Pelodiscus sinensis: one gene and its partners. The protein of the gene in region 1 interacts with the protein of each later gene in a pairwise test. Links are inferred from orthologs where the notes say so. Each region holds a gene or a part of one and is shown on either strand. Other genes may lie near its edges. The genes, in order: AHCYL1, CDKN2C and SLC23A1.

Region 1 (10,420 bases):
GTTGAGGTTACGGCTGAATTTTTTTCTTTCACCAGCGTTACAAATCCAGAGTGAGAGCCAAGCATTGCTGGAGCACTGTCTGGGCATACATCAACCAGTTTTCCCCATGAAAGTCTATTTTCTTCAAAAAAGTCGGAAATCGTTTTCATAATATCAGAAGCCTTTGATGTGGTCATCAATTCCTTCGAAAAAAGCGGTTCTTCTTTCACAGTTCCATTATTAATGAATTGAACGTAGACAAGCAACTGACAACATTGTGCTACATCAGTGGTATCGTTGCACTGAATTGCAAAAGAAGAAGCCAACACTGCCTCCACAACTTGAAGTTTAAAGAACTTTCGCCAGCTCATCGATGAGACGTTTCAAGGAATTGTTAGAAAGTGAAATTTCCAATAGTTTTTTCTTGCTTTTGACACCAAGCACAATATCAGCAGCTTTCAACAAGCAAGGCTTCACAAGCGTTTCTCCGATTACGTGCGCTTTCTTGGCTTTAGCGATGAGCAATGACAGTTCATAAGAAGCTTCTACTTCTTTGGCCGATGGTTGATGAAAAGCTCCAATAGTGTCCAGCTTTGCATTTCAAATTTTGAAGTTTAGCAGCAAAAAACTCTTTTGGTTTGTCTGTCAAAGTGCTGTGGTTCTTCGCCAAGTGTTGCTCAAGACAACTAGGTCTCAAGGCGTCATTGCTAAGAACTGTGTGGCATTCTACACATGGAGAATGATGGATCTTTTTTTCCCCCATGACAGTGAAGACATATTTCATGTAGACTTCATCATACTTCCTTTTCTTAATCGCAGCCATAATATATTAATTTAAAACAAACTATAAAAATAATGTTCCCAATTAGAATAAATTTAATGGACACAAGTTACTTTGATAAGTTATTGCAAACATTTATTTACTACTACTATTACGTACGGACGCGTACTATCTTATATATACCCCACCACCAGTAACCAAGCAAGAGGGATAGCTCAGTGGTTTGAGCATTGGCCTGCTAAACCCAGGGCTGTGAGTTCAATCCTTGTGGAGGCCATTTGGGGCAAAAGTTTGTCAGGGATGGTACATGATCCTGCTGTGAAGGCAAGGGACTGGACTCAATGACCTTTCAAGGCCTCTTCCAGCTCTAGGAGATAGGCATCTCCATTAATTTACTCCCACGATAGAACAGTCCCGCAAGCATGCTAGAAAGTTTGAAAAAGTTTCATTTCCTTCTACATTGTCCTTTGGCCTCCCCACCAACCAAACTGGTTCCCCTATACTTCGAAAGGGTGTATATATAGAGAGAGAGAGAGGGCTTGACAAATAATGCAATCTGCTTGCCTGCAATGAGTAGATTTTACCAGCTGGCGAGTGCAGGGGTGGACTGGCCTGGTGGGCTGTTGTGATGGGCTGGCCGAAGCCTGCACTGGCCGGTGGAGGAGCACAGCGCTGCTGGGAAGGGGGAAGTGCAGCGATTCTTGCCACCGGGCTGCCTGCGTGTAGCTCCAGCGCGAGGGGGCGGGGCGGGACGCCAGGACGCTGGTGTGACGTGGCCCCGCTGATTTTAAAGAGCCACGGTAGCTTGGCTCTGGCCGCGTGTCCCTGGGAGCTGGCTGCGGCGCACGGCACACAGCGCAGCCAGGGCCCGCCCTGCCAGCCCCAGTCCTGCTATGGCCCCATTCCCCCTTTGTCTCCGTGCCACCCGTTCCCCACGCCACCACTACTCCCCGGGCCCCCTGCTCTCCCTCTTCCCTGCAACCCCTTGGCTCTGCGCCGCCCTTGCACCCCACACCCTGCTCCCCCTGATCCCTGCCCCCCCAGCTCTGTGCTGCCCATTCCCTGCACTGCCCCAGACCCCGATCCCTCTGCCCCTCCCGTTCCCCGCGCCACCCCCGTACTCCCCCACTGTTCCCTGCACTCCTCTGGCTCTGTGCTGCCCCTGCACCCTGCTCCCCCTGTGGGTCGGAGTGAAGGGTGCTTGCCCATAGGGAGGGGCTGGACAGGGCAGGGAAAAGGCTGCTGTGACCCAGCAGAGAGTGGAAGGGGGAGTTCACTTGAAGCGCCTTTGCCTTTATGGAAAAAACCGAATGAAAATGCTATTTGCTATTTCTAGGGCTAAAATGCGGGACAAAAACAAAAACAAACAAAGAAAACCCCATCGCAAAATGCAAACATGTATAAAAGACAACAACAAAGGGGGGGCGGCCAAAAATGTTTTGCTTGGGGTAGCAAAAAACCTAGAGCTGGCCCTGGGGCAGGGGAAGGGGCTGGGCTGGGCTGGGCTGTGGGGAGGGGAAAAATATGGGGAAGGGGCTTGTGCTGAGAGGAAGGGAGGGGAAGGGGGAGGTCAGGAGAAGAAGAAGAAGAAAGGGGAAGGCACCAAGGGATGGGGGTGCAGGAGAGACAAACGCCAGGGGGCCAAGTGCAGACAACGAGGGAAAGGGCAGGAGGGGAGGTGTCAGTGGGAGGGGGGACAGGGTGATGCTGGGAGAGGAGAGGGGAAGGGCATTGGGGGCTAGAGGGGGGAGGGGGAGGTGCTGGGAGAAGGCTTAAAAGAAGGGGTGGGCATGAGGAAGGCGGGGATGGAGCAAGGCATCTGTGAGGGCATAGGGGCATGAGGGGAATGGGGCAGAGGGTGGTGAGGGGGTGGGTATCAGGGAAAAAGAGGGCAAAGGGGGCAGGGGCAGTGAGGGAGGGTGCAGGGGCCAAGAGATTCTGGGGGTGGAGCAGGAGGGCAGACACCTGCAGGGGAGGGACCAGCACCAGAGGAGAGAGGCAGGGCAGGTGTGTAGAGGGAGGTGTTAGGAGAGGGGATGAGGAGGGGTAGCTCACATGAACAGAGTGGGGCTACTGGAGGAGTGGGCACAGGGGGAGAGAAGGGCTGGTGGAGGGGGGCAGGTCACAGGAGGGCTGAGGGCAGTGAGAAGGGCAGGAGTCAGGACAGCAGAGGAGGGTGAGGGGTTGGGGGCAGCAGGCACCGGGGGAGCTGATGGAGCAAGGGGAGGAGACATGGCAGCCGAGAGAAAAGGTAGAAGGTAGGGCATGGTACTCAGGGGGGTTGGGTGGGGGGCATGGTACTTGTGGGGGTTTGGGGAGGGGGGGCAGGTTACTCGTGGGGGTTTGGATGGGGGACAGGGTACTTGTAGGGGTCTGGGTGAGGAGAGAGGACAGCTAAGCTGGTACCTGGGGGTCCTGCAACCAGGTCCGGGGTCTCAGGAAGCACGTGTGCTACTTATTCCCTGGGCTGCTTCCTGAGTTTGAATTGGTAGCTGTTTGCAAGTCTGCCCCCGTTTGAGCCTTTTAAATCAATGATCATTCAAAAAGCCAAGCTCCGTGGCCCCTATTGTCCAGGGGAAATTAGCACCTTTTCCAAGTGGCTCTGGGGCGAGTCTGTAGCCCCGGGAGGAGGGAGGGAGGGAGACTTCGGGAAGCTGCGGCGCAAAACAAACAGTTAAAGATGAACTTTGGGTGAGGTAATGCCAGCACGGGGTCTTTCTTGGGGAGGTTCGGGGGGGCTGGGTCACCTTGCACCCCCCTGGAATTTCTTCACGCCCCCCAGTTTGGAAACCTATGATCTAAATGATCCTTCAATTATTTGAATGGCCAGTCTTTCATTAATCTTAATCACCAGCCTCCCTCTTTTTACAAGCTCCTTGCCCAAAAGCAAAGCTGCAAGCGGCTCAAACTCTGTTGTGTTTAAGAACTGTGTCTGGAACCAGGGGCTGCAGCTTTAAGCAGGCCTCAAGAATGAAAACCAGGGATTCAAACATTAGGGCTACATCTACACTGCAGGCTTCTTGTGCAAGAACATCTGTTCTTGCGCAAAAACTTGCGGAGCATCTACACTGCATGCGCATTTTTGTGCAAGTAAATTTACAGTAGAACATCGGGCTTCTTGCGCAGGAGTTATTCCTCTCCCCACGAGGAATAAGCCCTCTTGTGCAAGAGCTCTTGTGCAAGAAGGCAGTGTGGACGAGCAACAGGGGTTTCTTGCACAAGATTCCCCTATGGCTAAAATGGCCATCAGAGCTTTCTTGCGCAAGAGAGCGTCCACACTGCCATGGGCGCTCTTGTGCAAAAGCACATGGCAGTGTGGATGCACTCTTGTGCAAGACCTCTTGTGCAAAAGAGTTCTTGTACAAGACGCCTGCACTGTGGATGTAGCCGGGGGGGAAGGGGGCTACTGCTTCCCTAACTTCCCTAAATGGTGCCCTTGGTTGTGGTCTTCTATCCTAGCTGTCTCCTTGCAGCTCTAATGCCCTCAGGCCTTGCCTTGCCTAAGGCCCTGCAATCTGGGAGTGAGGTCAGGCCCGAGCTCCCCAGCTCTGCCTGCCTTTCCCCAGCCTGCTCTGTCACAGGAAGCCTCCAGCTTCCCTGGCAGCCAGGCCCCTCCTGCTCCCCTGCTGCTGACTCAAGAGTGAGTCTTTCCTCCCTTGGGGAGCCCTTATTTATACAGCCCATGCTGGACCCTAATTGGCTGCTCTCTGCCACATCTGCTTGCTCCACAGCCTCTCCCAGGGCTGGATTTAACTCTTTTTGGCCCACCACAACTTACCATGGCAAGCTAGTTCCTGTCTGGTTATCTAATCTTTCTTAATGATTCAATGTTCTCTTAGGCTATGTCTACATTGGCAAGATTTTGCGCAAATACTTTTAACGCAAGAGTTTTTGCGTTGAAGTATTTGCGAAAGAGAGCGTCTACACTGGCATGTGCTTTTGCGCAAGAGATGTGCTTTTGCACAGAAGCATCTGTGCCAGCGTAGACACTCTTTTGCGCAAGAAAGCTCCGGTAGCCATTTTAGCCATCGGGCTTTCTTGTGCAAGAAATTCATGTTGCTTGTCTACACTGACCCTCTTGCGCAAGAGGGCTTATTCCTGAGCGGGAGCGCCAGAGTTCTTGTGCAAGAAGCCCTGATTTCACACATTAGAACGTCAGTGTTCTTGTGCAAGAACTTGCGGCCAGTGTAGACAGGTGGCAAGTTTTTGTGCAAAAGCAACCACTTTTGCACAAAATCTTGCCAATGTAGACACAGCCTTCGCTATGCCCACGGCCACTGCACAGTGTGTGGGGTGTTTCCAGGGAACCATGCACAATGACTCCAAGACCCCCTTCCTGGGCGGGACCAGGTCATTCAGATCCCACCATTTCATACCTACATTTAAGGAGATGTTTTCCAAGGTGCATTATTTTGCATTTATCAGCGCTCAATTTCACCTGCCATTTTGTTTGGTGAGACCCCTCTTCATGGTTGGTCAGCCCCCCAACCCACATAGCCCCCCAACGCTCAGAGGAAGTGGTGCCCACTGGGACAGGAAATCCAGTGCTAGGCTCAGCCCCACGTGCTCCCCCGCCCCCGTTAGGTCTGGCCGCTGCAACGCCACGTGGAGGCGGTGGGACGCTCCCACTCTCCTCCGCTAGGGGGCGCCGCCGCGAGCTCTACCCTCTGTGCGTGCGGCCTCCCCTCCCGGCCCGTGCGTGCCGCGTGACGTCAGGCCCCGCCCCATCCGTTCGGCGTGTGACGTGTGGCGTGCGCCGCTGCAAGCCCCACCCCCTGCCGGAGCGCGCGGCGTCCGCAGTCCCGTTGCCGCAGAGCGCTCGGAGCCGGAGCCTCCTGCCTGAGCCCCGCGCCCCCCCCCCCCCCCCCCCCCCCCCCCCGCGCCACCATGTCGCTGCCCGACCCGGCCGGCGGGGACGAGCTGAAGCAGGCCAAGGAGAGCGAGGCCGCCGAGAAGTTCTCGTTCCTGGCCACGGTCACCAAGGCGCCCAAGAAGGTACCGGGGCGGGGGGGCGAAGGGGGATGCGGGGGGGCGGGGGCGAAGGGGGTTTGGGGAAGTGTGGGGGGGCGGGGGCGAAGGGGGTTTGGGGAAGTGTGGGGGGGCGGTGGGGAAGGGGGTTTGGGGAAGTGTGGGGGGGCGGTGGGGAAGGGGGTTTGGGGAAGTGTGGGGGGGCGGTGGGGAAGGGGGTTTGGGGAAGTGTGGGGGGGCGGGGGGGAAGGGGGCCGCGGGGGCCGAAGGGGGTTTGGGGAAGTGTGGGGGGGCGGTGGGGAAGGGGGTTTGGGGAAGTGTGGGGGGGCGGGGGGGAAGGGGGCCGCGGGGGCCGAAGGGGGTTTGGGGAAGTGTGGGGGGGGCGGTGGGGAAGGGGGTTTGGGGAAGTGTGGGGGGGGCGGTGGGGAAGGGGGTTTGGGGAAGTGTGGGGGGGGCGGTGGGGAAGGGGGTTTGGGGAAGTGTGGGGGGGGCGGTGGGGAAGGGGGTTTGGGGAAGTGTGGGGGGGCGGTGGGGAAGGGGGTTTGGGGAAGTGTGGGGGGGCGGTGGGGAAGGGGGCCGCAGGGGCCGAAGGGGACTCGGGGAGGTGGGGGCGAAGGGGAAGGAGGCTCAGGATCTGTGTGGGAGGGTGGCGAGTGGGGGGAGGCTGGTTCCAGGTAGGGCTATCCAGTTCGGGGGTGGGGTACAGAGGGTAGTGGTGATGGGCTTCTGCTCTTGAGATCCTGTTGGCAGCATATCCAAGCCGGCTGCCAAGTAGGGGTGGGTGAGGGTAAAGGCCTGTGAACTGGCAGCATGTACCTGGCAGTGGGGATTACAGGTCATAGGGGAGCTGGCCACCTGCTGTGACTCCCATGGGTTGCACTGGAAGGGGAGCAGGGGGAGCGGCTGCCCATAGGATGTGGGTGGGGAAGCTGTTTGCAGGATGGAGTGTCCTGGAGTTGTAGGGAGGACAATTCACAAAGCTTTGTAGGGTGGGTGTGAGGGGGAATTGTGATGGCCCTGTACAGGTGTCTGTCATGAGTCAGGTGGGTAGGTTTGATTTGAACTGGGCAAGTTATCTTCTATGATCTCAGGGTCAGCAGGAAGGCAACCTGGGAGTGGGTTGGAGGATGGCTTTGAGGCTGGGAGGAAGGTACCAGTAGCTTATGAACTGGGTCATGACAGCAAGGTGTAGGGAAGCCCAGGAGATGTGATTAAATATCCCCTGAATATTTCAAGAATACAGCAAGCCAGGCATTTTCGGGAGCAGTATGTTTGTGGGTGCAGTGGACAAGTGTGGGCAACCAGTGTGAGGAGGGATTTGAGGGCAGCTTTGAGAGAAGGGCCCATCTGATGGCAAGTTTGAAGGGGATGCAGCTCTAAAGCTTCCTGGAGTGCTCTCTGTGCTCAGCATTCCCCTCTTGTCTCTTCACCTAGAACATGACTGAAATTCTCCCATCAGCTGCTCAGTGCTAGCAAAGGTGAGAGTCCTCAGACTTGGTTACTGAGGCTTTTACCTCTCCATCATCTCAATTTTGTCTGAGTTGGATTATACAAGAAGATGGTAAAAACTCTTTGCTGTAGCCACCACTGGTAGAGTTGCACTTATGGTGAATTTCAGGTCTTAACTTTGCATGTGTCAAGAGAGTGGGGACTCTGGGATCTAGACTGGCTGTGGGAGATCCCGGCTGTATTGAATATCATGTTTTCCCCTAGGGTTATGCCACATGCCTCAGTGTTAGGACTTGAACAGAGTAAATGGGAAAAACACTAGCGTGCTCAGCCACTGGAAATGCAAAGCCTTCCTGTGAGAAAGTTTTGATTGTTTGCATAGGTGCTGGAATTTTAGAGGGCGGAGGTACTACAGGCCTTTTAAATCATTTGCATTTGAGACATCCCCTTCTGCCTAATCTTGAATAACTAGCATTCAGCTGCCAGTGACAAGCCCTCCATGGATCTTTCTGTGCATGGTATCTATGCAGACAGTGGATATAGCCTGGAGCAAGGAGCAGAAGAATGCAGAGGCTAAGAGCTGCTTTTCCCCAGAGGTGATTCTGCAGCTGTAACCATGCTTCTGAGAGAAGTAAAGCAAACACTTCTTTTGAGTGTTATCTCCTTGCAATCTTGCACAATAGAGATGGAAGTATAGCCTGAGGCTTGTGCCCACATAAGCTGTAGTGTGGCAGTGATATGACAGATGAATACGCTGTAACACATAAGCATCCCATGGTGGGGGTGGGGTGTGGGGGTGGCAGTTACAGCAGGGGTGGTGAGCAGTGTGGGACAGCCCTCCCTTTAATGTGAGGATGCATAGGGTTTAGCTCAATCTTGTTCTTGTGAGAGGAGCTCTAAAAGGACTCATTCTAAGACAGGGGAGGGATCACATGGTGATTCCCTGTTCTATTCCCTCCCTCTGGGGCACCTGGCACTGGCCACTGCCGGCAGACAGGACGCTGGGCGAGATGGATCTTTGGTCAGACCGTTCTTATGCTCGTAACTGGACAAATTGGAGAAATGGTCTGAGGTAAACAGGGTGAAGTTTAATTAAGACAAATGCAAAGTGCTCCACTTAGGAAGGAACAATCAGTTTCACATATACAGAATGGGAAGCGACTGTCTAGGAAGGAGTACGGCAGAAAGGGATCTAGGGGTTATAGTGGACCACAAGCTAAATAGGAGTCGACAGTGTGATGCTGTTGGGAAAAAAAGCAAACATGATTCTAGGATGCATTAACAGGTGTGCTGTGAGCAAGACGCGAGAAGACATTCTTCCGCTCTACTCTGCGCTGGTTAGGCCTCAGTTGGAGTATTGTGTCCAGTTCTGGGAACTGCATTTCAAGAAAGATGTGGAGAAATTGGAGAGGGTCCAGAGAAGAGCAACAAGAATGATTAAAGGTCTAGAGAATATGACCTATGAAGGAAGGCTGAAAGAATTGGGTTTGTTTAGTTTAGAAAAGAAAAGATTGAGGGGGGACATGAGAGCAGTTTTCAGGTATCTAAAAGGGTGTCACAAGGAGGAGGGAGAAAACTTCCTCATCTTGGCCTCTGAGGATAGAACAAGAAGCAATGGGCTTAAACTGCAGCAAGGGAGGTTTAGGTTGGACATTAGGAAAAAGTTCCTAACTGTCAGGGTGGTCAAACACTGGAATAAATTGCCAGGGAGGTTGTGGAATCTCCATCTGTGGAGATATTTAAGAGTAGGTTAGATAAATGTCTATCAGGGATGGTCTAGTCAGTACTTGATCCTATCATGAGGGCAGAGGGCTGGACTCGATGACCTCTCGAGGTCCCTTCCAGTCCTAGTATTCTATGATTCTATGTGTGTGGGCCGTAATGATAGCCCCTTGAATCCGCTGCAGTTTCATAGCTTGATGTGCAGCTGTCTGGTTACAGTGCTGCCAGGGGCCTGCTGGGAGCACTTCAGGACATGCAGCGAATGTCCTCTGAGACTGATGACATCAGTAGCCAGTGAAATCTTGGGTGCAGGTGCATTGCCATCAATAGGAATCAGTGCTCCAGGCCACTACCCAACCAGAGATTGAGACTAGCACTGATAGCAGAGGCGTTGGCAAAAACGCCAAAGTATACAATGCTAAGTGCCTCCAGCTTATCTCACTTTCCACAAAATCATAACCATTAACAAGCCTCTTTCCTTCTCGAGGCTTGTATTGATTTCCGTGAGTGCAAAGTTGGTGTGATTTCTGTGTGCCTTTTTACAGCTCTGAAACGCCCTCCTTTCACACAGGCATCCCAACCTTTCCTCAGCACCTCAGGCAGAATCTGAGAGAGTCCCTGTATTTGCCAGGAGACTGAGAGGCCAACAGCAGTTTGCTTTGAACAAAAGCTTCTCTGAAGGCCGGTGGGCATGAAGATCAGACCTAGGGAGAGGATGGGAACATCTCCAGGATTTGAGTGCTGGTTCTGGCTAGTCCTTTGTGCTGACCATTCTAGACTAGCTTTTCAAAGGGCAGTCGTGTTTATGCTTGCCAAGAAGCGCATGTTCAGTTTCCCAGGGTAAGTGCCTAATTTGAGAAGCAGGAGGGAAAGTTAGGAAGAAGTGACCCTGATCAAAGGTGGGCTCCTGCAGAAGTAGATGTGCTCCTCATGTTTGATGAGCCCTCTGTGGCAGCCTGAAAGAGCCAGATGGGGAAATCCTTGTTGGTTACATACCCTAACCTTGAGGATCTCCTGTTTCTTCACTTGTCATTGAATTGGTAAAGATTAAAAAGTGAAGCAGCAGGAGGTGAGTGATTAAGAGATTATATGTGATCAACTCTGGCTTTAAATCCAAGGCCAAAGAAGGCGAGGTGAATTGGAATTCGACCTGGAACTGAAATGTGGTCTTCCCCCTCTTATCGATTAGGGAAACTAGTTTACCTGAGGCTCCCTTTTGACTGCAGTCTGCTTATTTGGACTCATCGTGCTTTGTCTTTTCTGTTATCAAAATAACTCCAGCTTTGATCTCCAGTGATTCTACCACAGTGCAGTGGGCATTTGAAGAAAGGCAGATGTTAGCCAGTGTGTGCTGTGCTGTAGTGCCTAGATTAGCGATGGGCAGCCCAGGCTAGTGAGTGGGCCTCAGGCAGCCTCCTTCATCTCAGGGGGCTGCAAGATTGTTGGAACCAAGGCAGTCTCCTGGACTAGGGTATTTTTTCTAACTGCTTCTATACCTAGAATTTGTGGGGAGTGCCAACT
Region 2 (9,917 bases), on another chromosome or scaffold:
ATATCTTGATTTATTTTAACTTAATCCATTCTGCTTCACATTTTGACAAAGTTTTACATGAATGGCAAATATTACTTGATTTTTTAAACATCTCGTCAGTATGGTGATTAGGGTATTTCTTTATATGTAGTTTCTGGCTGTCACCAGTAGGGTACCGTGTAAACTGAGTGAGCACTTGGGTGGATGCCCAGGAGAGGTTCAAATGCCATCCACCTGATTAGCAGAATGCCTACAGCCTGCAGCATGTGTTTCTAGTGGTGGTGCACATCTGCACATGCCTTGGTGCACATAAAATTTATTCCACCCATGGATGAAAAAAATTACAGGAAACATTGGTCACCAATTTGACCTGGATTACTTGTCACCATCTAGCATGACAAAGAGCTAGGTGTATTTATGTTGTAAATTTAGGATGTGTGCCAGAATTACTATGTTACTCAATGAGTCATAGGATGAAACATTAAATCATTATTGTTGATTGAGGCCTAAGCAAGGCACCATTTCTTCCTCCAAATACACTCCCACAAATAAATGCTTTTCTCACAGAGAACACCCCCTAAAGGTGTTTTAGCTATCTGATGTGGTCATAATTAATGCAGCACTGGGGTAATTTTGCCTTTCTGTACTACAATATCTAGTTGATTTATATATAAACAGATTGATACAGATAAAACAGGTGCTTTAATTGACATACATAAATACAATGAAGCAGCTCCAAGACAGATTAATTGTTCCTTAAATAATCATTTCCTTAGATGATACATGATTTTCTATAAACTGGACAGTGACTTCCTTTTAATAAGAAAAAAAGACAAGGAATGGATAGATATGCAAGATTCATTTATCAGTCCTAGTAACTCCTCTCATATGGGAAACAACAAATTTGACTTAGGTTTGTGACCCAACCGCTGTTAATATGCATAATAGCCCTTACTCTTAGGATTCCCAGAACAATACTTTAGGTCTCAGGGACATTACATATCACTAAACTTGTTTTATAACACTTATACAAGTCCTAGTTTTCAGCGTTGTTTGTTGTTTTTAAATATATGTCCCCAAATGTTTTCCATCTCTCCTCTGGCTATATATGCACAATTTGACTCTTTAACTGGCTAATTAATCCAATGGGGGGGGGGGTTGTTCACGCCTTATATCATTTCTAGTCACTTCGCTGCCATCCATCACAGACTCAGTCGCAGCCTTCCTAAAATTACACGATGGGCAAGATCTACATTACTATATTCTTTTCTATTTTAAGATCCCTATATCTTATTTTCCCGTTTGTAAGACGATATATACAAGCCTAATCAGAATATATATGCTTCCTGCTGATCATCAGAAAAATAATGGTAGGATTGATACTCAAAGGGAGAGGGGAGGGGAAAACAGGAAAAGAACAAGCCGCAGTGGAAGCCATTAAAGAAAAAGAGGTTAAATACCCATTACACACGCAAGTTACAAGCTGCAGAAGAATATGGAAACGTTTTACTGAATCTGCCTGGAGGTTAGACCATTTGCCCACAAGAAAGCAGTAAGATAGCAGGACATAGAATTATTAAGGCACATTGCTAGGTACTAATAAGAACGGTGATCTTTATGATGCATTTGTTTTGTTTCATATGACTAGACAATAGTTTCAGAATTTCAAGATGAACTATGACAATATCAAAGCCCTACTTGTGATGGAAAGAAAAATATACCATTCAGACACGGTATTTTACTTCGTCCTGCTCCTGTTTCAATTGCTGGTGGCAGGTTTTAGAGATATATTACACGTGGCTGGTTTAATAATTCTAGTTTAACTTTACAGAATTAATAGATGACATACCTACTACTGACACATTATCTCTTTTCCACTGCTTGGCATTACAGATAACTCTGTACTATAGATACTATGTGGTTCAATACCAGAGACAATATATACTCAACTGCAAACCAATCTACCCACATAGTACCACAGAATAATTATAATAAAGGCTGAAAGGCAAGTTTTATACATTGGACTAAAGCCAACTATTTTCTGTAGTAATTTAAAACTGTAGTTTAGGAAATAGCGCTGCAATATTACTCACGGCCATCAGCTGTAGTCAAAAGTTAGTTACCTTAGTGCTTAGGGAGCAGTATTTGAAGCGAAAAGTATCCATCTTACATGAAATAAAGAGCAGGATCGGGCCAAAATGAGAAGAACAGATGAAAATGCGAAACCTAAATTATGTCACTTGAAGCCCAGATTACAATAATATAGCTTCGTTTATTCCCCTTACTACTCAGAACTCTTCAATAAGCCCCAAACTGGGGTTTCCTACACATACTGGATACATTAGAAAAGGTCCTGGGAAGATAGGGAAATCAGGTGGGTAAGCGATTGCAGTGCTCCATGCGGTGTTCGATGATTACTGTATATCGGCAGAGGGCGTTTTTATGTTTGTGTAGTATATTGTTTTATAAAATGTCTCTTTAGCATTGTTAGCAGTAATTAATTAAAAACAACACGCTCCTTTCCACAAACATTTTAAAGGACCTAAAAGGCAGCAGGTGGGATGATGCTACTTTTTTTGCCTGGTCAATATAAAGATGGGGGGCGGGAGAAAGGGAGGCCTTCCGTGTCTCAGAGTAAACCATTTTATCTTCTGGTATCTGAAAGAAGGATTATTCTTCTTAAGAGTCATTTACAAAAAGTAGTGAGAGAATATAACATTTTGGGGTCGAATTCTGCAATGACTTAACCTACGTATGATTCAATTAAAGTTAACAGTCTTGAACTAGGAGTAAGTCAGCGCAGAATGTATTTACAAACTACTTAGTGAAACAAAGTAGTCTAAATAACATTGTATATTAAATGCCTGTTTTCAGAAAGCCTGTATTATTGAAAATATTTATTTCTAGAATTAACTTTGAAGGGAGTTAAAAAACACACTTCTGCCTAGAAAATTGTTACTCTTATAATTTATAACACTTAGGTTTATTATAACAGAATTTTAAAAACATGTGCTCTTTTTTCATCTTATTTGCTGTGCATGTGATAACAAGTAGACAATAGTTTCATTCTTTCCTGTGCTATTCACTGTGTATCTGCCCGTTCATCAGTTTCCCGTTGCTTGTATCAGTTTTTCAGAAAACAATAGAGAAAAGAAAAAAATTCAAAATAGGAAAATGTGGCAGTGAACTTTGCCACGAGACGGAGATGTCTAAGCAGTACTTCTGCTTTGTAACTTTCAGATGGGCATGTCCGTTTAAAAACAAATGATATGTCTAGCATTAGGCATCTTAAATCAGGCCCTGAATTTGCACTGTCTCCGCACACAAAACTTGCACTGTTGTCAATGGGAGTTTTGCCTAGTCTGGAGGGCAGGACCGGCGTCTTTGATTATCTGGTGTTGTTTTTAAACAGATCCATTCAATGGCATCTCTCTGAGTTAGCCAGTCAATGTATGTACGTTTTCATGAAAAGGAACATTTTGCTTGTGCATGGACAGTAGAGCGACACAGTATTTATCAAAGGAACATATCAGGTGTACTTTATGCTTAGTGGGAGTCCTGAAACTGCAGGATACTTTCGTGGAACTGAAGCTTTAAGGCTCACGGAAATGTAGAGCAATTCAGGATTCAAAACCGTCTGCAATTCGACTGATTTTCGCCACCTCCGGCACATAAAGTCCTCACGCCCTCTCATCGCAACTTCTTTCTGCTTTGATATACAAGAGGATCCCTCATTTCTTGCATTAGAGCCCTGGTACTTTTCACTTAACCTGGCACTTTTCAGGTGTTCCAGGATGCTAGAGACAAGCCAAGCCAAGGTTTCGGCCCTGGGTTATCGCAGTTCACAGTTAGAATACCTTGACATTGGCCCTTTTAGCCATGACCTTGTCTTTAGGGAGCAAGCCCTAGTGAGGAGACCTGGAAAACGCCTCCTTGCGGGATGACAGTGGCCCTCGGCTGGCCCGACGCTGTTCGCGCTGACTTCAGTGGCGCGTCTTACGTTTGCTTCCCTGAGAAAAAGGATCGGGCTCCTGTTACCTTGCTATGGCCTGCGGAGGCAGGTGGCGGCTAAGGATGCCCACTAGCAGGCTGCTCATGGACACGCACCTCGGTCCTGAACTAGTTCCTACCAGCCCCGCTCGAGCGCGTTGCACGACTGTCGCCTGGTGATATTTCTGCGGCAGGCGGGCGGCACCAGCGCGCCCGCAGAGTCATCCCCACCAGCCCGCGGGCGACGGCTTGGCCCTGCCGCGGTGTCAAGGGACAGCTCCTCGCTAGGCCTCGCCAGCGGCCTCTCACAGCGCCAGCCGGGGCGCGGAGGGGGTGGGAGTGCTGCTCCCGGGCGCTGGTGGACGCCGGGCGAGACACCAGGGGCCGAGTGTGCAAACTGGCGCTCCGCGGGCCGCCGGGGCCTGCGCGCTGTGCCAAGCCGAAGGGGCGGAGGGTGCGCGCCGACGCAGGCCTTCCTGCTCGCTGGGCAACTCCGCCGGGCCTCCTTAAATCTCTGCCGTTAAAATGTGGGCGGGTATTTCAACTCAAAAAGCGCTCAAATTTTCCCCCTTTTCAAAAAAAGCTGATGAGGTGAAAAGCAGCCGGAGGAGGCGAGAGGCAGAAGCGGGCTGGGGTCCGGGGGCGCCAGCCCCCCCCCTCTCCGCCCGGCAAGTGCAGCTGGCTTTGGCGGAGCCGGGTCGCGGCTGTCACTGAGGCGGCGGCTTTGCAGGGCTGGGGAGGCGGCGCAGCCGGACCTGCGCTTCCCGGTCTGTGTCAGCTCGCCCCGGGCCGGAGCAGCGCCGCCCGCGAGCCCAGCAAAGCGAACGAGGGACGCCGCGATCGCCAGAGCCAGCGGAGCCCCGGGGCCGAGGCGCGGCGGAGGCGGGAAGGGCTCGCCCCGTGGCTTGCAGCCGGGACGCCGCCGTGTCCCCCGGCCGGCTGGATGGAGCACGCGCCGCCGCTGGGCTTCTCCGCCTTCCCGTGAGGCGCTGGCACAGGCATGCAGCCGCCCTCTCACGGCCGCAGGGAGGGCGCCGTCTGCGGGCCCGGTGCCCTTCCGATTGCACCGGGCAACCATTGCTGGGGGCCGCTGAGTCTGCGCCTAGGGCGGCGGCAGCTGGAGACCGCGGACGCTTTCTCCTGAGCCAAGGCAGCTAGTGCGTGAACTGTGCGGCGGATCTGCCTCCTGCTGTCTCTTCCCGGGGCTTTTCGCCCCCTCGTACTTGGCTTGAAATAAACGCAGCTGGCTGCAGTGAAGGGGGTGACCCCAAGCAACCATACGGCTCCAGGAGATTTCTCTGCGAAGTTGTTCCTGCTGAATTCTCAAATCTCGACTTGAATAAGGGTGGGTTGTTTTCTTCTTTAGCGTGAGTCAGTCTCCTAGGTATGTGTATATATGTTACCTATAACATATATAATATATTCTATAATATTAATATATTTCCCCTTTAACGTGGCCAAAGTCCTCGGTATGAGTTGCTCTGCATGTAGAAGCAAAGAAATATTCTTTCGAGTGGAACTGCACTTTTGCTGAATAATCACGTGTGAATTTAGGGGCGGGCTCTTGGCAAACAGTTTTTTACGAGTATTTACTACAAGGTCTACTCCCGAAGATTAACCATCCCAGTACTTCTGTCAGTCTCCGATGCCATGCCTGGTTAAAAACTCCCCCAAACTCACCTATTTTCGATCGTCAGTCACCCTAAAGAATGGCCGAGCCTTTGGTGAACGATTTGACGTCCGCATCTGCAAAGGGGGACCTAGTGCAACTTACTAATTTGTTGCAAAAGATTGTAAACGTCAATGCCCAAAATGGATTTGGGAGGACTGCGCTGCAGGTTGGTATCCAGAGAGAGAGAGAGAGAGAGAGAGAGAGAGAGAGAAATATTTCATCACTGCTACCTCCGTGACCCGCGTTACAGAAAGCCCGATTCTAACTAGGCTGGTGTACAGAATTTCTGTATTTTTTAACCTAGTTGGTTGCCATATTTTATAACTTTAGTGGCTCCAACTCCCTAAAATGACGTACTTGTAATAAAACTGGCCAAAACCATTATTTTTAAACGGGGATCATCCTCAATATCAAATAGGCTGCCAGTTTAATCCAATTTTAATATTGAGGGAAGGGGAAGGAAGGCAAGGAAAAGGTGGATGATATGAAAAGAAAACATCCTAGCTGAGCCCTGTTTCAGAGACGATTTGTAAACACATAGGTCTTATTACTCGAGGTGTTGTGTTGTATTTTTATACGGAGTGTTTTTAAACCATTAATGTTCGCGATTATTTATTCTGGAGTGAATGGTGCTTTTCCTTTATACGATGTTTTTGACGAATGACCTTTCTGCATTTGGAAACATGCTGCACGGGCACTCCGTACCTTTAGATGTACATTAGCAACTGGACGAATGAGTTAGACTTCAGTTTGAATCACTTGCCGAGCCATTCATAATTAAGGCTCAATAAAGATAGTATTGTCAATCAGGACCCTAGTGGATGGACTCAAAATATTTCATTTCTGAGGCTATAAGATTGTTTGGCTTAATGGTCAATATTTAGATGTACAGGCAGTAGTTGGAACACATCCAACTGCGAAATACTGAAATTGAGTAAAGTTTTCTTTATTTAAGAGCATCATAATGATGGTGAAAATGTTACAATACAGACGAAAACGTGAAACAAGCAGTTGTTCCCTGAGCTGAAATTCTGTGGCAATTTACAATGTACAGTGTAATGTAGGGAAATGTGAAATTAGAGTAATTGGGGGGGGGGTTAAGTTCACAGTTTTAAAAACGTGTTTTTGTTTTAAAATGCGAACTGCTGAAATGTTCCTTTCAGACACTGTATTATTTGAGACTGAAATCCAGATTTTTACTGCGTTTTTGGCTTAAAATCAAAATTAAACTCTGGAAAAGAGGAAATTCTTGTATGAACACAATAATAATTCTTATTTTTCTGTTTCACTGAAGCTCAAGAACTATGCGATTATCCTTGCAATATTATTGCTATTACTATTGTCACATAGGTGTGGGACTTGTGAGACGCGCAGACACCTTATTAGAGAATGAAAGAGCTTATATAAAAAACGGAGACAAACTAACTTCTGTTAGGAAATCAGGAAATGTTTAGCCAATATTTTATCTTTAAAATGAGGCTGAAAAATACAGTTGCACTGAAGTAAATGTAAGGCTTCAAAATAACGGACTTACATTGGGAAATATTCTACACAGTGACATACATTTTCAGCTATCTTAAACATAAGATAGTCACTTAAATTGCAGCTTAATCATAACCGATTTGATTAACCATAGCACAAATCAAAACAGAGTTGGCTAGCTACTTATTTTCAGTATGTATAAACCTGAAACATGCTGTGGGTAGGTGACAGAGCTCAAGAATATTTTCAGTCAACATTCTCTAATATTGTTCACTCGGTACTGAACCGGATGAAAGTGAAATTGTATTTTATTATACCAATATGCTAATGTAAACAGCTACTTTTATAAATATATCCTCTTCATTTTCTTTTTGACTTTGAGTACTCATGCAGGCCTTAGATATTGAGTTTCCAGTTTGACCTCCTTCAGATTTGTTCTAAAGATCTTATGTCTTACCCCATTACCCCCTGCCGCCCCCAAATTACAAAATAATTGATATTTGAAGAGACAGTTCTAGCCTAAATCGGCCTAGCATTACCTTTATATAATATATACATTTATTTCATTTTTTCGGCTTCAAGTGCTGCCTTTCAGTGCCATATCCTGTCATCTTTGCTTACTCAAAACTCACTCTGAAGTTTTCGAGTGAGCAAGGAATCGAGGATGGGCTCCCCAAAAGAATTGCAGATACGTTTAAGGTATCTGAAAAAAGGAAGAAAGGAGGACGATGCCTTCGCTTATTTTCCAGAAGTATAGCTGTACCTTTTATACTCTCTAGTTGAAAGGAATGCAGGTAATATGTAGGAAACATTCAGTTATCACTTATCCCAGATAACCTTTCCCCAATCCGATTTGTAGATTCAGTACTGTTACACATATTATAATATAGGGGATGTATATGTGCCTTTCCCCACAAAACCTAATTCACATTTGTTTTCAGTAACAACACATTTTCAACAAATGCCTCGTAGAATTTGTAATTTGTGTTTACTTTAGTGCAACTGTAATCCTTGTTTATGCTAATAATAAAAAGCTCTTTGCAAGATTTTCAAGATATCAGCTGGTGCTAGTGAAAGACAGCAAGATTTTCAAGATATTGGTTAAAAATGTTCTAAAGAAGTAAAGGCAGTATTTTTCCCTTATCGAGGTTGTTAATAAAATTGTCTCCTTGCTAGAGCAGTTGAATGCAAAGTCTTACACAGCCTGCAACGTCGGAAATTAAGAACTATCTTGTTTCATTATTTTAAAGGCTAAGGGACAGAAGTTCTGGCGAATTTTGGGGTCGGGCCAAGCCACTCAAACTCCTAATCAGAGATGCCCATGTGCTCACTTATAATAGGTTAATGATAAAGAAATAAAGTTTTACTTAACAAAAAGAATCATTAGGAACACTGATCGCTCTTTTCTACCATGGGTTATTTTTAACAGCACACATTCACAGATTAGACTAAAATTATGAAGCTATGAGATAAATCTTTCTTTTTACAATAATTTAGGTGAACTTTAAGTCGTTGCTCTTAAGTTCTCCATTTTGGGCAGCACACAATGAACCATAGCTCTTGCAGAAAACCTGAAAGGATTATTTTCTGCAGAGAGAAGTGCGGCACATTATACGATCATACTGACACTTATTGACAAGAAACAGACAATTTAAACACTTCCATTGAAGAGTTTATCCCATTTCGTGTTATTGAAAGTATACAATATCAGAGCCTCAGAAAGTCATCCATCTTACACTTAACGGGTTTAAAGAGGTAAATGAAATTTTCTAGATATTCATGGTAAGTGAAGCCGACCTATATATAGTTTTTAGCAATGAAAAGACTGAGATGAAAAGGCAGTATTATAAAAAGCAAGATAACCTCAATATTCCATACTAGCTAATTTTGACATTAATCTTCTGTAGTTCAAGAAGATATTTCTCACTGGAACAATACAGCTAATCGTAAATTTACTGTGGTTAGTGCAGAAATTAGAAAGTTACGCTTCCCCTCACATTAATTTTCTAACGGGCTTCCTCTGCATAGATAAAATAGGTCTCCCTCTGGAAGAAAGCTCAAATATAAAAATTAAGATTCTAAAGTGAGTGAAACGAGCAATTCTAAAATTATTTACAGGATTAAACTCTTATCTTTTCCTCTTTAGGTAATGAAACTTGGGAATCCTGAAATTGCCAGGAAGTTGCTAAATGCAGGTGCTAATCCTGATCTGAAAGACAGTACTGGGTTCGCTGTAATTCATGATGCAGCCAGAGCGGGTTTCCTGGACACGGTGCAGACTTTACTGGAGTTTAACGCTGATGTTAACATTGAGGATAATGAGGGAAACCTGCCGTTGCACTTGGCAGCTGAAGAAGGCCACCTCCCAGTAGTGGAATTCCTTATTAAGCACAAAGTAAGCAAGGTGGACCATAAGAACAAGGAGGGTTACACTGCCTACGACTTGGCCAAGCTGTACAAGAAGAACGATATAGTTAAACTAATGGAAAGCAGCAGTTTAAGTGCAGAAGCTGCAGACATGAATTAAATCAAACACGGACAACTTCTTACTTGGACCTACGAGCTTCTAGCCCTTGTTTTGAATAACATTTATTGAAACATTTTTCTTTTTTTTAAGTAACTAGTGCAAGTCTAGTGAAACTGCAAAGGTGTAGATTTTGTAGACAGTGAATATATTTAAAAATCACACCAATAGCATTTCCTGCACCTGCCATCCCCAAAACGCTAGAAGAGACACAAGACGGACATACGTTGATCGCTTTTGCTTATCTCTTGCAGATTATAGTTTTACACT
Region 3 (10,775 bases), on another chromosome or scaffold:
CCCACCCACACCCCATGCAGAGTGGGGTTACAGGCATCCCTGTGCAGCAATCCCTCGCCCTGGACACCCACCCGCACCCCATGCAGAGTGGGGTTACAGGCATCCCTGTGCAGCAATCCCGCACCCTGGGCACCCACCCGCACCCCATGCAGAGTGGGGTTACAGGCATCCCTGCACAGCAATCCCTCGCCCTGGGCACCCACCCGCACCCCATGCAGAGTGGGGTTACAGGCATCCCTGTGCAGCAATCCCGCACCCTGGGCACCCACCCACACCCCATGCAGAGTGGGGTTACAGGCATCCCTGTGCAGCAATCCCGCACCCTGGGCACCCACCCACACCCCATGCAGAGTGGGGTTACAGGCATCCCTGTGCAGCAATCCCGCGCCCTGGACACCCACCCACACCCCATGCAGAGTGGGGTTACAGGCATCCCTGCGCAGCAATCCCGCACCCTGGGCACCCACCCGCACCCCATGCAGAGTGGGGTTACAGGCATCCCTGTGCAGCAATCCCGCGCCCTGGGCACCCACCCGCACCCCATGCAGAGTGGGGTTACAGGCATCCCTGCGCAGCAATCCCGCACCCTGGGCACCCACCCGCACCCCATGCAGAGTGGGGTTACAGGCATCCCTGTGCAGCAATCCCTCGCCCTGGGCACCCACCCGCACCCCATGCAGAGTGGGGTTACAGGCATCCCTGCGCAGCAATCCCGCACCCTGGGCACCCACCCGCACCCCATGCAGAGTGGGGTTACAGGCATCCCTGTGCAGCAATCCCGCGCCCTGGGCACCCACCCGCACCCCATGCAGAGTGGGGTTACAGGCATCCCTGTGCAGCAATCCCGCGCCCTGGACACCCACCCACACCCCATGCAGAGTGGGGTTACAGGCATCCCTGTGCAGCAATCCCTCGCCCTGGGCACCCACCCGCACCCCGTGCAGAGTGGGGTTACAGGCATCCCTGTGCAGCAATCCCGCGCCCTGGGCACCCACCCGCACCCCATGCAGAGTGGGGTTACAGGCATCCCTGTGCAGCAATCCCTCGCCCTGGACACCCACCCACACCCCATGCAGAGTGGGGTTACAGGCATCCCTGTGCAGCAATCCCGCACCCTGGACACCCACCCACACCCCATGCAGAGTGGGGTTACAGGCATCCCTGTGCAGCAATCCCGCACCCTGGACACCCACCCGCACCCCATGCAGAGTGGGGTTACAGGCATCCCTGTGCAGCAATCCCGCACCCTGGACACCCACCCACACCCCATGCAGAGTGGGGTTACAGGCATCCCTGTGCAGCAATCCCGCGCCCTGGGCACCCACCCACACCCCGTGCAGAGTGGGGTTACAGGCATCCCTGCACAGCAATCCCGCGCCCTGGGCACCCTTCCCCTCCCCCCCTGTTTCCCCACTTTTTAGCAGATTAGAGAACGAGCTAATTTGCATACTTGAAAAGTCTGCCTGTCTAAGCTTTGTGCACGGAGCTGCACAGCCCCTAGCCAGCTGGGCGCGTGTTCTAGAGAGGGCCTGGGATGCTAGGGAGAGGGGTGGACCCTGGTGGGTGCCCGAGGGGGAGCCACTGGGGCCAGTGATGTGCCCAACTCTCTGACCCCCAGCGGCTGCTTCCCTGTTTAGATCCAGCAGGGGGTGCTGCATGAGGTGACAGAAAGGGGCCTTCTGGCTGCTTGTGACTGTCCCCTGGTGGCCACCAGCTGCAACTGCAGGATAGTTGGCCGCTTGGCCAGCAGCTGAGCCCTCCCCAGGACTCTGCTCCCTGCCTGTCCAGCCTTCCCCCCGCCCCCAACGCCTGGCTGCCGTCTCCAGCCTGCCCCTCCAGGGATGCCCGAGACCTGCGAGCCAGGCCGGGCGGTTGGGCAGGCGGCAGAAGGGGAGGGAAGGAGCCAGGCGGAAGCTGGGCAGAGGGCGGGAATGGGCATGGAGTGGAGCAGGCAGGGTGGGGGCGTCTGTCTGTCTGCTCCATGCACTTGGGGGGCGGGAGGGGTCCCGCTGCAGGGCAGCAGTCGAGCCCGGGAGTCGGGGACTGGCTGTCGGACGAGCCGAGTGGAACCCAGCTCTTCTGAGGGCCAGGGCTCCCCATCGCCGCTCCCACGGGGCTGGTGCGGGCAGAGGGCCCCGCTTACGCCAGCTGGCCTGGGGCATTTAGCACCTGTTTACCCCAGCAGGGGGTCTCGAGGGGCCGTGGCAGCGTGGCGGAGTGGGCCCTGCACGTGTAGTTTCAATATCTGGGCGAGGCCCCCTGAGAGCCCGGAGGTTCCTTTGTGGGTGCGCGGTCTCTCCCCTCCACGACACTCTAGGTGCTCGCAGCACGTTCGGGTGGGGGGTCGGGCGTCCCCGGCCAGGGCAGGCCGCTCTCCCGCCAGAAGGCTGCTGCCACCCCTCCGCCCCGGTGAGCCGGCTCTGTCTTGTGCCGCAGCTGCAGGAGCACCTGGCCAGAGCCGAAGCCAAGCGGCCGTCTGCCAAGGCGCCGGGCGCGCGCCTGAGCGAGTCTGAGTACCTGGAGGCGCTGGAGGGGAGCTGCTCGCAGAGCTGGGAGAAGTGAGTGGGCGCGCTGAGCCGGGAAGCCCTCGCACGCAGGGGCGGCCGGTGTCTCTGCCCAGGGCAGCCCGGCCTCGTCGCCTCCTCAGCCCCCGAAAGGCAGCGAGCGGCAGGCCAGGCCCCGCAAAGCTAACCCCCCCGAGCGCTTCCGGGGAGACGCCGGCTCTGAACGTCCGACGGGACTGAGACAGTGCCGGGCGCTGCTTATCCCCGCCCTCCGGCAGGCCAGGCCCAGCGCCTCCTCTCGCCTGCGGCTCTCAGCGCTCCAGTGAGGGTGGGGAGGGGCGGCACCCCGCCCTGGGCGTGGTCTGGGGGAGCACGCGGCAGCACCCTCACACGGACAGAGGTGTGTCTCCAGTGTGCCCTCCCCGTGCTGGCTGCCTGCCACTGTCCCACTGGCCCCTCCCGCCACCCCGCGACCCCGCCACGTTCTCTCCCGCCACTGCCCCATGGGGCCCTCCCACCGCCTCCTGACCCCGCCACGTTCCCTCCCGCCACTGCCCCATGGGGCCCTCCCACCGCCTCCTGACCCCGCCACGTTCCCTCCCGCCACTGCCCCGCGGTGCCCTCCCACCGCCTCCTGACCCCGCCACGTTCCCTCCCGCCACTGCCCCATGGGGCCCTCCCACCGCCTCCTGACCCCGCCACGTTCCCTCCCGCCACTGCCCCATGGGGCCCTCCCACCGCCTCCTGACCCCGCCACGTTCCCTCCCGCCACTGCCCCACTGGCCCCTCCCGCCGCCCCATGACCCCACCACGTTCCTTCCCGCCACTGCCCCACTGGCCCCTCCTGCCGTCCCGTGACTACCCACGAGGGCTCAGCTCTGGGCTTTGGGCCATGCTCATCAGGGCTCAGATTCGAGCCATGCTCAGCAGGGTTCACTGAGCTGCGGGTGAATCCCTGGGGGGCCTGACATGGAACAGGAGGGATGCAAACCGGGGAGAATGGTCTCTGCTCTCAGGCCAGTGACCACAGGAAGAGCCTGAGGGGCCCTCCCCTCGCCAGCCCCCGCCCCCGCCCCCGCAGCCTCACGCTCCCCTTCCCCAGGAAGCTTGGGGTTTATGCAGAGCAGCTGCTCCGTGACTATGGGGGCTCCCTCTTCTCTCCCCAGCTACGGCGTGAAGGAAGTGGGGGGAGTGCGACGCTTCGCCGGGCCAGGCCTGAAGAGCGAAGAGACCGTGAGTGTGATGATGACGGGCGGCCCGTGGCCCACGAGGTGAGCCCAGAGGCAGGCAGGAGTGAGGGGCTGGGGAGGAGCAGGCGGGGGCAGGGAGGTGGCTGCAGCCAGGCTGGAAACACCACGTGCAGTTCCCTGCTGGGGGTGGGGGGCGGCCCCCCTGGAAGCCAGCTGGCTGTTTTTCTGGGTGCTAACTGGACTGCCTGTGGCAAACGAGGCTCTGCTAATGGTGCCCGCCAGAGGAAATGGAAACGGGGCTTAGGCGGGTGCCCCGGGGCTCTCGCCCCCAGGCAGGGACCAGCCTGACCCCCACTTCCTGCTGAGCAGCAAAGGCGACAGGGCAGCCGCCGAGCGTGCTCCCAGGCCTGGCTCCCCATGGCACTTACACGTCGGGCCCTGCGGCCCATTTTCCCAGGTGGAACGGTGCCAGCGCCCTGCCAAGCAGCAGCAGGGTTGGGAGCCAGGCACGTTGGCGGGGAAATCCATAGCCCCGAGCCTGGATACTGCTGCAGTGTCTCGTGTTCGCTGACCCTCCCTGCGGTGCTCACACAGCACTCGGGCAATAGCATCTTTCAGCCCCAGTGCCCAGCGCCAGCTCGGGAGATTACGGCAGAGAGCAAACTTGCTCGCTGCTTGCAACAGCCCCGAGAAGAAACAAGACCAGAGCACGGCCCAACTCACAGTGAGACAAACGACTCGCCGGACTGTGAGGGACAGCGCCCTCTGGGGGCACCTGCTGGAACGATACCGTGGAGTCCTCTTTCCGTTTCTCGTTTTTGTAGGCTCTACAAGCTGTGCCAGAGCTACCTGGGCGACTTCGGGGAGGAGCAGATTTACGAGGAGTACCGACGCAGGCCGGACGCCTTGGCGGAGTTCCTGTGCTCCAGAGAGCAGAGAGCCTGTGCAAGACTTAGCGATGCCCAGGGCGGCAGCCTAAATGAAGCGAAGGCTGTGCAGAGTGAGCTGTAGCACAGCTCCTGCACAGCCCAGACTGGACAGTAGGTTTACGCTGACGGGGTGTACATCCGGGCAACCCCATAGTAATAAACCACCGTGTACATCCGGGCAACCCCGTAATAACAACCCACCGTGTACATCCGGGCAACCCCGTAATAACAAACCACCGTGTACATCCGGGCAACCCCGTAGTAACAACCCACCGTGTACATCCGGGCAACCCCGTAATAACAAACCACCGTGTACATCCGGGCAACCCCGTAATAACAAACCACCGTGTACATCCGGGCAACCCCGTAATAACAAACCACCGTGTACATCCGGGCAACCCTGTAATAACAACCCACCGTGTACATCCGGGCAACCCCGTAATAACAAACCACCGTGTACATCCGGGCAACCCCGTAATAACAAACCACCGTGTACATCCGGGCAACCCCGTAGTAACAACCCACCGTGTACATCCGGGCAACCCCGTAATAACAAACCACCGTGTACATCCGGGCAACCCCGTAGTAACAACCCACCGTGTACATCCGGGCAACCCCGTAATAACAAACCACCGTGTACATCCGGGCAACCCCGTAATAACAAACCACTGTGTACATCCGGGCAACCACATAGTAACAAACCAAAATACACAGTCAGGCAACCAAATAACAACAAACAAATGTAAACCCAGGCAACCTTTTCCGAACAAAACGACATGTACCATCCGGAGCTTAATACGGATAAAATGATATTCTTAGCCCAGGGATTATTTATGGGCAACCCTAAAATAAACCAGTGCCCATACATAATTACACCCCGTATATCAATCCAATGCCAGGAGTACCTGGTGGCATTTCCTCGCTGTAAATTACCACAGCTCCCACAGCGTCAGTCGGAGCTGGGCTGTAGCCAGTGGCACCCTGACAGTTTCCACCTGCTGCCCACTAGAGATAATATAATCTCACTATATTGAAATAGTTACACCCCATCTGAGGTTTAGAAGTCCCAGCTCCTTAGAGGTCGCTCTGATTTCCTTTCCCGTACTGAGTCGTGGGGATCATGTACGTTTGTTGTTGAATTCCTCAGGTTCCTGTCTGTACTTATTCTGAGTAATACATTTTACTGGCTATATGAGTATAAATCAATGGCCCGTGGTTTTCCACTGGTTCTCACGTATTTAAATAAGGAGGAGTCCTGTGGCACCTTAGGGTATGTCTACACTGCCAGCCTAGTTCGAACTAGGGTGACTAATGTAGGCATTTGAACTTGCAAATTAAACCCCAGATTTAAATATCCCGGGCTTCATTTGCATGTTCCCTGGCAGGCGCCATTTTTAACTCCCCCTAGTTCGAACTACCTGCCTGCGGCTACACGCGGCACGAACTAGGCAGTTCAAATGAAAGCTCCTAATTCGAACTACCGTTAAACCTCCTTGTAGCCGCGGGCAGGTAGTTCAAACTACGGGCATTTAAAAATGGCGCCCGCCCAGGAACATGCAAATGACGCCCGGGATATTTAAATCTGGGGTTTCATTTGCAAGTTCAAAACTGCCAGTGGGAGCAGAGTGGGCAGCACCCCAAACCCGCTGGGCCTCCATGAGGGGGGCATAGAACTGGGCAAGACGTAGCAACGTTTACAGGACGAGAGGGCCCAACCCCCAGCCGGAGCACTGTTCTTCCCAGGCTCTTCGGGAATGACTGGAACAGCTCTGGTAGGGCTGTGCCCCCAGCTGGACTTTTCCCCGTGTAGAGGATGCGGCCACCAGAAACTAGAGATGTCTCAGGTGAACGCAGGATTGTGCTTTGGGCCCGGCCTGCGCATGGTCTTTGTGTCACTATAACGCCAAGCTCCCAGTCTGGGTGCAGTTACCCTGCTGCTTATCGTTACAACGGTACAAAAGCTGGTGCAGCCCAGCCACCCTGGGTCCCTGCAAGGCCTTTGCCCGGGCCGGTTCCCAACCATTCAAGCGCTGCAGTGCTTCCCATGGGGAGTCTCTCGTTCCCGACGGGATTCCACGCCGAGCAGCTCCCCCCACCTTTTCCTGGACCACATATTTGCCATCCCTTGGGATGCCCCAATAGAGAGACGTCCTCTTTGTGCGGGCGATTAACGGTGACTAATTCTGCTGTCTGCCGTTTGAGCTGTCCACCACCCCACCCCCATGGGACTGAGAAGCCGACTGATGATGGAACCAGCTGAGAAGGAGCGGGTGGCCTGTGATAAAGCCAGGACGTTGGCGGCAGAAAGGGGCTGCAGGGAAAGCAGTCTGCAGTCACCCCGGGGAGAAGCCAGAAGATGTAGGGAGGAGACCAGGGCAACAGCAACAGGGGCTGGGAGAAAGACCATGATTACTACCCATGGGGCCCGTGGATGGAAATGGAGGGCGTGGGCTGGGTTAGAAGTGGTGTAGGCCACTGTTCAACAGGACTCTGCTATCCCGGGGGGGGACCAGAGTGACGTGGCTGGAGGGACAAGCCACGAGGAGGGAGCCTCCTGACACATGGAGGGGGGAGAGGTGACAGGGAGCGTGAGTGAGGCGCAGACCCAGTGGGTGCTAGACCCAGAAGGAGCAGGTCCCCGGAGCCGCCAGGTGAGTGGACCCAGGACACTTTGTCCTTTCCCATAGTCTTGGCCCCTGTCCTCACCTGGGCCCGGAGAACATTCGCCCCCCCCCTTCATCGGCAAACATTCCTCAGAGCTGATGTGTCAGTTAATACGTAATGTCATAGCAACCTTTGTCACTAACGGGCTACCAGCGAGATCCGTGTGAATCGGGGGTAGGCAAGCGAGCAGAGACTCCCAACAGCAGCACAAGCGCTGGGCCGCTCACACCTTCCCCTCAGCCTCCTGCCCTGCAGCCCAATGAGCCTGGGTCTTCGCAGCATGGCCCCCGGCAGCACTAGCTCCCCCCGTGCTCCCCATCACCGTGCTGCTCTCCCGGCCTGACCGCTCGTGGCAAAGGGGAGCGTGGGCTGCGTGGCCCGTTCAGCCCTTGGCCACTATAGGGCTGGTGGATGGTCAGCTACTGGGACCAGGCTCAACGCCACCAAAGAGCAGGGGACTGGTGCTCTGCCTTGCAGCCGCCAAGAGCCAGGAACAGATTAGAACCAGCATCATCAGGCCATGTTAAGGGTCAGTCTGGGAGAGGGGTGGGGCCAGAGCGCCCCAGGAGATAGGCTGTGCCAACTGGGCAGCGAAGTGGGGGACCTGGTGCTAATGTTTCCCCCCCTCCCCCATCCACAAGTTTTGTCAGGATCGTTATTTCAAAGCGATGGCAAGAAGAGACGTGGACGGGAAGAAGCGGCTGCCGTGTCCTGCGCCATATGCCAGGTCCACACTAGAAACGTTTGCCAAGCTTGTGATGGGGGGGGGGCGTTAGTCTTACGACATTTCTGCCTAGTCCAAGCCAAGACTGGGATCTGCACGTAGCTTCCGAGCTGACTTGTCTACAGTTTGGGGCTGTTGTCTGGCCAGTCGCGTATCTGTTTGTAAAACAGTCGTGATGTCTGCGGCCCTGAAATGCCCAGGACGGGCCTGTCTATATAATGCCAAACCCCGGGGCAAGCCTAGCCCAAAGGGATGGACATTGGGAACCTCGCATTCTTTAGCGTTGCCTCTGCACAGCTTCAGGGGAAGCCGACTGTAGGTGGATACCTCTTAAGCTGGCAGGGGTTGTGAACAGTCTGTTTATGAACCAGCCAGTTATTCTGTAACTCAGCTCTCGCCTGTCTTCACAAAAGGAGCTGTGAAAAACCAACAAGCCTTCGGACAGCTGCGCATCCTCCCCTCACCCCCCGCGAGGCCGAGCACAATTCATGGAGTTAATAGATTATCTTTAAAAACACAGCTCTGGTTTCTTTCCCAACCCGCAGCCAAGCGCCCTGGTTACAGATTGACTCCAGGAACAATGTCGGGTGAACCGACTAAAGTCCTCCCCACGGCCATAAAACAGCGTCACTCTCCAAAGGGCCGGGGGAAAGCTCGGTGCCGCTCTGCAGGTGATGGGGACCAGTTTGGAAGATTTGTCTCAGCCCCAGGTGACTGTGATGTTTGCTGTTCCTGTATTTCACCCCTCCCGTCCCGACTCCCCAGATGCATCCATTTCCCTGCTTACGGTGTTTAACCGGCTGAGAAACCAGCTGTGTGGGTTGTGACGGGGGCAGAGGGCAGCGATCGCAGGATCTTTCTCAGCCGGGCGTGGGAAGTTAGAGGCTGCTATCCCCTGACTGGCTTGGGAAGCCAGATGGCACCAAGCGCGTCCCTTTGGACAGACTGAGCAAACAGGAGGCCTCCCGGGATGCCCGCGGGTTTAGGAGCGAGGGGGAAGAGACTCGGCCCACGGGGAGGGGTGAAGCTGCTGCGCCACCCCAGAATGGAGCACTTGGCTCCTCAAACGGCAACTCACTAGTCAGAGGAGATGAGGTTCAAGCGAGCCCCTTTTGCCCTGCCTGGTCGGGGCCTGCCTCGCCCTGGGCAGCTGCCCCCTTCGACGCGCCCCAGGAACCCTGGCAGCTTCCCCCCCTCCCCCTTCACCCCGCTTCTGGGTTCAGCCAAAGCCGTGGGACTCCAGGTCGGAAGGTTCTAAGATGCAGGCCAAGACTGGAGATCAGGCGCCAGGGGACAAGAGCCACAGATGGAGAAAGGGGATCCAAGAAAGTCAGGGCTCTTGGGGGGTTTTCTCAGGTAAATGTACAAGGAACTGGGCTTTATTTTTAAGGGCTGCTGCAATACAGGGACTGATGCTGGTTGGTGCTGAGCACATACAGCTGCCACTGCAGATACCGGGTGTGCAGTGCACTGAGCACACACGCACACCCTGCAGCAGGCTCAGCCCCTTGCAGGATTGGGCCCTACAGGATTGGGCCCTATTGTGGCAGATTTAGTATAACTGCTTTACAATGTGGCATAGCAGTTCTTCAAGCTCCAACTTCTTGTGTGTGTGTGTGTGTGTGTGCGCGCGTGTGTGTGTGTATACACGTGTGTGCATGGGGAGGGGTGTTAAACACTAGTGTATTCCATAGCAATGAGCCAAACCCCATCAGTGTTACTAGTGAGGGGAGAGTGAGCTGAGCACCAGGAACTCCTGCTAATCCCAGTGCTGACACCAACGGACTGGGAAACCTTGAGCAAGTCACTTATTCTCTCTGCCTTGGATCTCCCATCTGTAAAATGGGGGTAATAAGTCACTACTATCTCCTAAGGGTGCTCTGCTGGTTAATTAGTGTTCTGTAAAGGGCTTTAAATATGCTATATAAACAGTGACAGTGTTGTTAATTCCATTCATTTATTTTAAGGAGGGATATTATATAGCTGTGTACCTGCCATTTGGTTTCTCTGTACTGAACCTCTGCATTTCTAAGGCCTGGTGTACACACCGACTGGCATAGATAGCTGTTATTGTTAGGGAGCGAGATTTTTCACTGATACAGCCATACGGCTACACCCGAGAGGAGATGCTATTGTACCAGTATAAAGGTACCTCATTCCAGTATCACTCATTCCCCTTCCTGTACAGGGCTTGCTATACTGGTGTAAGCACATTTATACTGGTTTAGCTGCGTCCACACTGAGCGATTGTACCACTTTAACTACACCGCTCGACTACCGTGTTACACCCCTATAGTTACAGCGGCTCAGCTTCGAGGCCAGCAACCGGGGTGTGAGCCGCGCTGCTGCCGGGTGTTGCAGAGGAGACGCACACACCACACTATTACTGAGCGGCTCCGTTTGTCCCGGCTCACGCTGCTGCTCCCTGCAATGTCCGTCGATGGCATTCAGCCCGGCGTGCAAACACAGACCGGCTCTGCGCATGGGGAGTCTCTCTGGGGTTCCCAAAACGGAGGAGCTGCTTTCGGAGGACCACCACCCGCAGGGTGGGCGGAGACGGCGGGCCCTTTCGACGCGCTCTCCATCCTGCGCTGGGTTCCTCTGTTCCTGGGGACGGTGCGCCCGCCTGCAGGGTCTCTCAGCAGTGACCTGCTTTGTTTTCCATGTCCCTGGGGTATCGCAGAATGGAAACGCAGCGTTGGCCCGGCAAGAGGGGGCCCCCGAAATCCTCACCGAGAATTCGCATGGGAAGGAGCCGGCGAGC

Evidence for each region.
Region 2: the proteins of AHCYL1 (region 1) and CDKN2C interact in binary tests that used the Homo sapiens proteins (3 or more experiments, as listed by UniProt). The two-hybrid records come from large-scale screens. The link is inferred for Pelodiscus sinensis from reciprocal best matches to the Homo sapiens genes AHCYL1 and CDKN2C.
Region 3: the proteins of AHCYL1 (region 1) and SLC23A1 interact in binary tests that used the Homo sapiens proteins (3 or more experiments, as listed by UniProt). The two-hybrid records come from large-scale screens. The link is inferred for Pelodiscus sinensis from reciprocal best matches to the Homo sapiens genes AHCYL1 and SLC23A1.

The regions. Positions count from the first base shown.
Region 1 is NW_027465886.1:177,222-187,641, reverse strand, and holds the start of AHCYL1 (S-adenosylhomocysteine hydrolase-like protein 1), read left to right. Parts: upstream 1-5,533; 5' UTR 5,534-5,647; coding exon 5,648-5,755; intron 5,756-10,420. UniProt on the Homo sapiens protein: Multifaceted cellular regulator which coordinates several essential cellular functions including regulation of epithelial HCO3(-) and fluid secretion, mRNA processing and DNA replication.
Region 2 is NC_134719.1:8,339,839-8,349,755, forward strand, and holds the start of CDKN2C (cyclin-dependent kinase 4 inhibitor C), read left to right. Parts: upstream 1-5,377; 5' UTR 5,378-5,678; coding exon 5,679-5,807; intron 5,808-9,269; coding exon 9,270-9,650; 3' UTR 9,651-9,917. UniProt on the Homo sapiens protein: Interacts strongly with CDK6, weakly with CDK4. Inhibits cell growth and proliferation with a correlated dependence on endogenous retinoblastoma protein RB.
Region 3 is NC_134727.1:3,245,259-3,256,033, forward strand, and holds the start of SLC23A1 (solute carrier family 23 member 1), read left to right. Parts: upstream 1-6,306; 5' UTR 6,307-8,685; coding exon 8,686-8,721; intron 8,722-10,694; coding exon 10,695-10,775. Other genes in the region: MZB1 (marginal zone B- and B1-cell-specific protein), read left to right, coding at 2,437-2,558, 3,671-3,775, 4,519-4,705.